Linked DNA regions of Coturnix japonica. The protein of the gene in region 2 purifies or fractionates together with the protein of the main gene of each other region. This does not show direct contact. Links are inferred from orthologs where the notes say so. Each region holds a gene or a part of one and is shown on either strand. Other genes may lie near its edges.

Region 1 (3,651 bases), on a different chromosome or scaffold from region 2:
ACAGAAAACACAAGGATTATATTGATCTCCCTAATGCTGAGCCTGTTTTGCTTGTGATGGTAATTAGTGAGTGATCTCCTCATCTTAACCTGAACTCTTGAGCCATCTTCCATCATATTTTTTCCTCTTCTTCCCTTAGGAAGCTGAGTAAGAGCAATGTGGGAGAGCTCAGCTGCCCATAGGTGTGAAACTACTGCATGATTCCATAAAGGCTGGTGGTCAAAACTGAATGAAACAGGCATACTTCATGAAATCCCTAGCCCAGCCATTCACTGCTGACTGAACTTGTGTCAGTTAACACAATGATATTTATTACTTTTAAAATGCAGCAGATAATCTGTGCATATTTCCATCTCAGTACTCAGAAATTCACAACAACTTCTGTGCTACAAGTTGGTTTTATTCATGAGCTAAAATTCCTGAGTGACTTACCTGGTCCTGGCAAAGAAGTTCAATTTTCTCCTCTGCGAGCACAGCAATGTCCTCCTCTTTTTCTTGTTCTCCTGCTTTTTCATTATTGGAAGAGCTAGTCGTTTGAGACTCGTTATCCAAGTTTATGATTTTCTCATACACATGCTCCATCACTTTCCTCACCTGAAGCATATCACTTGCTGACAGCCGGTCTCTACATAAGGTAAATAACGATTGGCAAGAGAGAACTTGAGGGAACTATTTCTTCTTTTCATGATACTCTATCTACAGCAAACTATGCAAACAATTAAATTTTGCACCTATCATAATATAGAAAGCTAAACAAGATCATACAAACAAAACACCACGACACAACAGCTACCCATCCAAAGACTGGCACAGAGGATCTCAGAAAACCAGTAGGATATTGGATATATCCAATTCCCTTTATGCAATGTTGAGACTCAAACACACACTATTACTTACTTTTTTAGAGTTTTTGCCCCTGAAGATGAATGAGGTTGGAGGTAGAAGGGAATCTTATTGAATTTGGGCATGTTTTTCTAGAAGGAAATACATTTGAAAAATGTTACATTTAGAATGAACTATTATCAGCTCCCATTTCCACCAGCTGGTAAGCAAAGTATAGTCAGTTCTTAATTATCAATAACCAAGATGTTGCTAATAAGCAGCTACCACAGACAGCCTCCAGATTACTCACACTCCTAATGTGCTCCAGTTTCAGTATATAACACACCACATCTTCCTTTTGAATGTAATTACTGCTCACGTACTGCTCACTTCAAAGGAAATCAATAATATGAAAACACAGCAGCAACGTAAAGGTCACTCTCTGTACCTGAGCTCTCTACTTGAAAAGGACGTCCATTACGCACAGTGATTTGAGCTCCTTTTCTAAGCCTTCAAGGCACAAAAAACTTTAACTGGGCACTTCAAAAGACAACGCTTATTCAAGGGTCTTGAGTACAGTCCTTGAGACCACTTATTTTAAAATACAGTATACGAAAGACAGAAAAATTGAACATGTCATTTGGATTGAGCTCAGTTAAAAGATTTTATGATTGACCTTCAACAAACAAAACCTGAAGTCTACACGTGGGAAACTTACATCCACAGTGATATCAATCACCCATTGTGGCACAGTCTCGTTCAGAAGCATAGACTCCGTTTCACCACCTGAATCCCGACACAATAACCTACGACACAGAGAAGACAGCTTTATGAATGGAAACGTTCAGTGTTCAGAAATCAATCATAACAATATATGCTAAAAGACGCTCAGGAAACGACGATGCATCCTTTCAATGTGTGTAGAGCTTGAAATTGGTTAGCTGGCCTTTCACAGGATTAAGCTTACTGAGGAGGTGGTCAGGTAATTCCTACCAAGGCCAAGAAGTGTAACTGCATGCAAAAAGGATCCCTAAGGCAGAAATAGGGAGACTACAGGCTGCAGCACAAACCATGACACTAGTTTGCATGTGGACTGCATGTGTTTTATGTTGTAAGCACTGACTGCAACTTACTGTTGGTAAACCAGGAAGTGTTTGGCCACTTTGTATATACTTCTGAGTTTCTGTACCTGAACAAAGTGCGTCCTCCAGCCTCACCAAATATAACTGGTGTATGTGGTGGTACTTGAAAATATCCATTTCCTTTCTGGACTCTGTTCTCCTGCTCACCATTCACTGCTGGGGAAAAAAGAAATACACCATTAAGATTATATTAGGCCTTAAAACTGGATGTATGTGGAACAAAAAAATATCTTCTCCATCTACAGTTAGCAATTTCATAAATGAAACAAAATCAGAAGCTTTGTAAAAGAAAGAAAAACCCAATTTCCAACACACAGCAAGTTTATCAGAAGGAACAGTAGAAAGTAAAGAGATTTTCAGAACTCTGAAAGATACCGGCTTTGTTTTTCTACACGGTTTTGAACAAAGTCAAGGTAGAGTACTAGTAGAGCTCAAATTCACACTTTAAGTGACTGCATTCTATATTCATTTAATTTTGGACAGTGTTAGGTCTTCAAACACTTGAAAAAATGACTCTACATCCATTCAAAATTATAAATTAAAAAATAAAAATAAAAAAATCAGCATTAATTATGCAATTTTTGAAGACTTTTTGTTATTCCAGTACCTTGTAACACAAGTTGTAAGTATTTAGATTCACATCTTTCATAAATAAAATCACATTAAGCAAAAAGCCCAAGAAAGAAAAACTATTATATATTAGAGAAGGAATGAATATAATTGCTAAGGTAGAGAAGGAGAGATGTCATATAGTTTGAAAGATTTCCTCATGGCAGTTCTGTTAACAACTGATAGTAACAATACAAGAAAGCTCTCATCTCTTTGAATGGTTACTTTTGAGAAGGAAAAGTGGAGCCTCTGATTCTGTAGTGAATGTTCTGAACATTTCACTAATCCATGACAACTCACAGAAATACACAGTGGAGCATAAATACACACCAAGGCTACAAAAGCCTGAGAATTACACTTCTATGCTGTCTGACTCCACAATTGAGGGCTGTCAATACACAGAAGTATGATAATCAGCAACTTTATCCAGAGAAGTCTGCTAAGTGCTGTAATGCTGCTTGGAGTTCACTTTTAAATGAGATTGTTAACCCTTGGCATCATCTTTGTCCCAGGATGACAAGAGTCCAATTAAGGAAATTGTTCAGTGCAGCAATATCTGTAGAAAGTAATTTCTTAATTGCCATTCATAGACAAGACATTTTAGTCAACTCTGACCTGGGCTGAATGCATTTCAAACTCTTTCAAAAACTTAAAAGAGTTTCACAGTCCCTCTCATTCTGCTTTAATTTAAAGATCATTCTAAGATAGCTTTGCACAGACTTACTATTATGTCAATATTCAATATATTTTTTTCCAAATATTTATTTGATATCATTCACAACATCAGAATGTATGCTGGAATTACACCAAGAATAATACCTAATATCAAATAACTGAATTACTGCTCTTTATTATCATTACCTAGACCATTTCTTTTCTTTTTCCAAACTGAGCCTTACTTCTGCCACTAATGGTTTTCTACCACGGCATCATGCTTCTCTAACTTAAGAACTACCTATTCACTTTTTATTTCCTTCTTCAGATTAGAATTCTTTGTATTTTTTTTTTTTGCTGGCATGTTAGGAAGAAAAAAAGCTGTTCAGCACCTTTTGACACAAAACAATTTCAAAGGCAGTAA
Region 2 (4,294 bases):
AAATTGGGATCGAGCGCATCAGGGTACTTACTTTCATGAAGTACGGTATAAACATTGTGACTAAAAGGTAGAACCAAGACAAAAGGAAAAGACATGAAAAGCTGTCTTTAACTGAGAAACTGCAATTGCAGACAACTGTGTCTCAAAAAGTGAAACAGTCTGGAGTGCATTAGGATTTTACTGCCTCTTCCACTGGTGGTAGAGTTGTGGAGGGGGGGAAGAGAAGACAGCAGTAACTTCCAGAAGAAGCTTACGTAGTCATTTTGAAACGGGCCTAAGGATACACTGATAGACAGTAAACAAAATTAAAATTAAATAAATAAATAAATTAATTAAAAAGCAGGGAAAAAAAACAACAAAACAAAAACAAGAGAGCTGTCTACAAGACAAAAATGAAAAAAACTCCGAATACTGCATCCAATTCAGGGCCTCCCAGCACTGTAAAGACATACACCTGTTAGAGCAAATCCAGAAGAAGGGCACAAGGATGATCAGTGAGCTGAAGCATCTCTCCTATGAAGACAGGCTGAGAGCTGTTTATTTTCTTGCCTGGAGAACAGAAGGCTCCAGGAAGACCTTGTAGCATCCCCGCAGTGACTAAAGGGAGCAGACAAGGAAGCTGGGTGGGTACTCTTTATCAGGAGCGATAATCACAGAATCACAGAATGACCCAGGTTGGAAGGGACCTCAAGGATCATGTAGTTCCAACCCCCCTGCCTGGCAGGGCCACCAAACATATACCTTTACTAGATCAGGTTGCCCAGGGCCCCGTCCAACCTGGCCTTGAACACCTCCAAGGACGGGGCATCCACAACCTCCCTGGGCAGCCTGTTCCAGGGCCTAACCACTCTCCTAGTGAAGAACTTCCCCCTAACATCCAACCTAAATCTTCCCTCTTTTAACTTGGATCCATTTCCCCTAGTCCTGCTATTGTCAGCCCTTTCAAAGAGTTTACTCCCCTCCCGGGTTTAGGTTCCCTTCAGGTATTGAAAGGCTGCAATGAGGTCACCCCGCAACCTTCTCTTCTCCAGGCTGAAAGATAAGACAAAAGGTAACAGTTTTTGTCCTCAGGCTCAAAGTTACCAAGCTCAGAGGAGAGGCCGCAGTAGTTCTGATTACTGAAAACGCATAGAACAGTTGGTGACAGAAGGGAAGAGCAGAAGGGTCTGCAGTAACGCGTTCCCCGGGCGAACAAAGCCCCCTGCCCAGCTGCGAGCCAGCACCCCACCACAAAGCAAGGCGGTGCGGGCATCCAGCTCCGCCATGTCTCACCTGTGCTCTGGATGCGGTAATTCAATGTGTCCGCCCGGGAAGGGCCGACGCCGGGACCTCCTCCCTTCCTTTCAGTAGTTTCACATTCGCAGACGCAGATTCGACGCCGTAGAACCGGCTGCCTTCGCCCCTCCTCTTTGCGGCGAATGTGCCGTTCTGCGAGCAGCGTCAACGGCGGGTGGCTGTCGCCGGCTGCCGCGGCGATGGCCGGGATGGCGAGGAGGTGGGTGACGGGTCTGGGGTCGGGTCTGGCCGAGCCGCGCGGAGGGACAAGGGGCACAAGTGCGTGTTGTGCGGACCGTGTGTGCCCCGGTGGCGCAGTGGTTAAGGACGCCACTTAGCAACACTGGAGACTGGGGTTCGAATCCTCCCTGTGGCGCAAGTGGTCGAAGTGCTGCCCTGCTACACAGAGGCTCGAATCCCGGGGGTTGGACTCGATGATCTCTAAGGTCCCTTCCAACCAGCCCAAGACTGTGATACTGTGTGTATATACTGTGATGGCTGCCGTGCCTCCTTCAGGCGGGTTGGGATGTGAGCCGAACGGCGCCGAGCTGGTTTTTCTTCGAAAGCCTGTGGCGCGCGCGCGCTGCATTTGCCCGTCGCTTGTGTGACGTGCAGCCTCATCTCCTCGGTCTGAAAGTGACCGTGGAATGGAATCGATCTCCAAGGAGTTGTGTGTGTGCTGCCATAAGGGAAACAACAACATGGGATGAAACTACAGCATAGGAAGTTCAGCACGAATGTGCAGAAGAACTTCTTTACAGTGAGGGTGACGGAGCACTGGAACAGGCTGCCCAGGGAGGTGGTGGAGTCTCCTTCTCTGGAGATATTCAAGACCTGGACACCTACCGGTGCAACATGGTATAGAGAACCTGCTTTGGCAGGGGGTTGGACTCGATGATCTCTAGAGGTCCCTTCCAACCCCTACAATTCTGTGATTCTGTGCAAAAACCCTTACTTAGGAGCTATTCAGGAATGAAGATGAATGGATTGAGAGCAGCGCTGCAGAGGATTGGGATTGTTTGTTCATGAAAAACCCAACATGTCCCAACATGTGCCAACAGTGTGCAATTCCAGCCCAGGAGGGATAGCTGTACCCTGGGCTGTATTAAATGAGGGATGGCCAACAGGGCAGGGCCCTCAGCTCCGCATTCACGAGGGCCCATCTGGAAAACTGCGTTGATGCTTGGGGCTCTCAACAGGGGAAGGATGAAGAGCTGTTGAAATAGGTCTGGATGAGGGCCATGAAGATATCAGGGCTGGAGCACTTAGGAGTAAGGCAGTTTCAGGGGGTTTAGCTTGTTCAGCCTGGGGACAAGAAGACTCTGGGAAGACCCTATAGTAGCCTAATAGCACCTAAAGAGAGCTGTAAGGGTGGATAATATGAAAGATGGTAAATATTCAAAAGGTAAAGGGAAACACACCAATATCAATGCCTTAGCTGGAAAAAGCTGAGGCAATCTCCACCAGGGAGTGATCTCCAAGAGATGCTGCCTCAGTGGGGGTCAGCCCTTAAATGAGGTCTAGAGGAGGTGGAGTCGAGCTCCATCCCTTCCAGGAGCACAGCTAAATTACTCTCACCTGTGCTCCTGCAGCTGACCTAACACTTGCCTCAGCTGATTAATCAGAGGTTCAGGCTGTGATTACCAATTTCCCATACAAGAGCGTACAACAGAACTGAATAGGACTCTCAGGAAGACAAGAGGAAACTGTTTCAAATTTCATGAGGGTAGGTTTGGTTGAGTATTAGGGAGGAATTCTTCACCATGAGGGTGGTGAGGCACTGAAACAGGCTGCCCAGAGAAGCCAAAGTAGGCCTAATGGGCAGCCTGATCTGATGGAGGTGTCCCTATGCTCAGAAGTGGGGGTTGGAACTGTCCCTTCCTAACCAAGCTATTCTGTTCTTAGTAACCATATTGTATGCAATAGTAATAGTTACACATGTATTTGGACATACGCTGCTTTTCTCCTTAAATACATGATACAAACCAAATCAAGAATTAGCTAGTAGGGATTCTCAATACGAAGGGCCTAATACTGTGTTCTTTTGCCACAGGAACAGGAAAATTGTTAATTATTCAGAATTTGGGGACTTTGAAGATGGTGGTAAGTGGTGTATTTCTGTACATAACTGAAATGCCAAGCGCTAATGCTACAACCTAAAGTATCAGCAGAGTGTTCTTCTTTTTCATGCATTAGTTAAGTGACAAGGCTATTACTGTTTTCAGTGGATATAAACTGAACATGTTGAAAATCCTAATTCAGCAAGAATATGATTTCTGTAAGCCAAAGCATAACAACAGTTTGCCAGGGATCTGTTGAATGCACTGTGTCTTTTGATTGCAGGAAAATCTGTTTCTCTGCCTACCTCAGTTTTCAGAGAGTTACTTGTTCTGTGCCCTCCTGATGATCATTTCACAAGACTTCATATCAGAATGTAAAGGGAGTTATGTAGTTGGCTGTGCACAGGTCTAACATTTCTCATCCAGCTCTGTAACTTAAAGGATTTTGGATAAGAATTTAGCAATCAAATTTTGAGTTGAATTGGTAAGAAAAATAGATTGTAGGCTCTTAGTTTTCGTGACAATCCTCCTTTACCTCTAAGCCCTAATGGGTATTGTATCATTTCCCTTCATGAATTTGGTTTATTTTTCTATCTTCCTGTGCTATTTGTCAGTTTTTGGTATCCACTGAACAGTTTGAAGTGATAGGAAGGGGAAAGAAAAGTTAAGTGATATTGAAGATCCCTTGTAAGTCATGTGAGTTAATGCAGAGTTTCACAAGTTTAAATACAGTTCGTAACTTTTTTTTTTTAAGTGACCACTTGTCATACTACAAAAAAAAGGAAGCTTGTTTTCCTCTGTCCCTTAGATTTTTATCTCAGAAGTATCATGTATCTGTTCTATGGCATTTAGAAAACACATCGTATTTTTCCTTATTTTGCACTGTGAACTGCATTGTAATTGGTCAGAAGAAATAAAGTTTTTATACCTTCTAATATTCTTTTGAAAACCAGAGAATG

The links. The genes of interacting proteins can lie anywhere in the genome.
Region 1: the proteins of RAD51AP1 (region 2) and WDR48 purify together in Homo sapiens (affinity purification with mass spectrometry; 5 studies listed by BioGRID and IntAct, counting the BioPlex papers as one, with this or other methods). This does not show direct contact. The link is inferred for Coturnix japonica from reciprocal best matches to the Homo sapiens genes RAD51AP1 and WDR48.

What each region holds. Positions count from the first base shown.
Region 1 is NC_029517.1:4,660,054-4,663,704, forward strand, and holds part of WDR48 (WD repeat-containing protein 48), read right to left. Parts: intron 2,121-3,651; coding exon 2,012-2,120; intron 1,629-2,011; coding exon 1,541-1,628; intron 975-1,540; coding exon 898-974; intron 626-897; coding exon 433-625; intron 1-432. UniProt on the Homo sapiens protein: Regulator of deubiquitinating complexes, which acts as a strong activator of USP1, USP12 and USP46. Enhances the USP1-mediated deubiquitination of FANCD2; USP1 being almost inactive by itself.
Region 2 is NC_029516.1:67,090,502-67,094,795, reverse strand, and holds the start of RAD51AP1 (RAD51-associated protein 1), read left to right. Parts: upstream 1-1,388; 5' UTR 1,389-1,418; coding exon 1,419-1,495; intron 1,496-3,328; coding exon 3,329-3,378; intron 3,379-4,294. UniProt on the Homo sapiens protein: Structure-specific DNA-binding protein involved in DNA repair by promoting RAD51-mediated homologous recombination.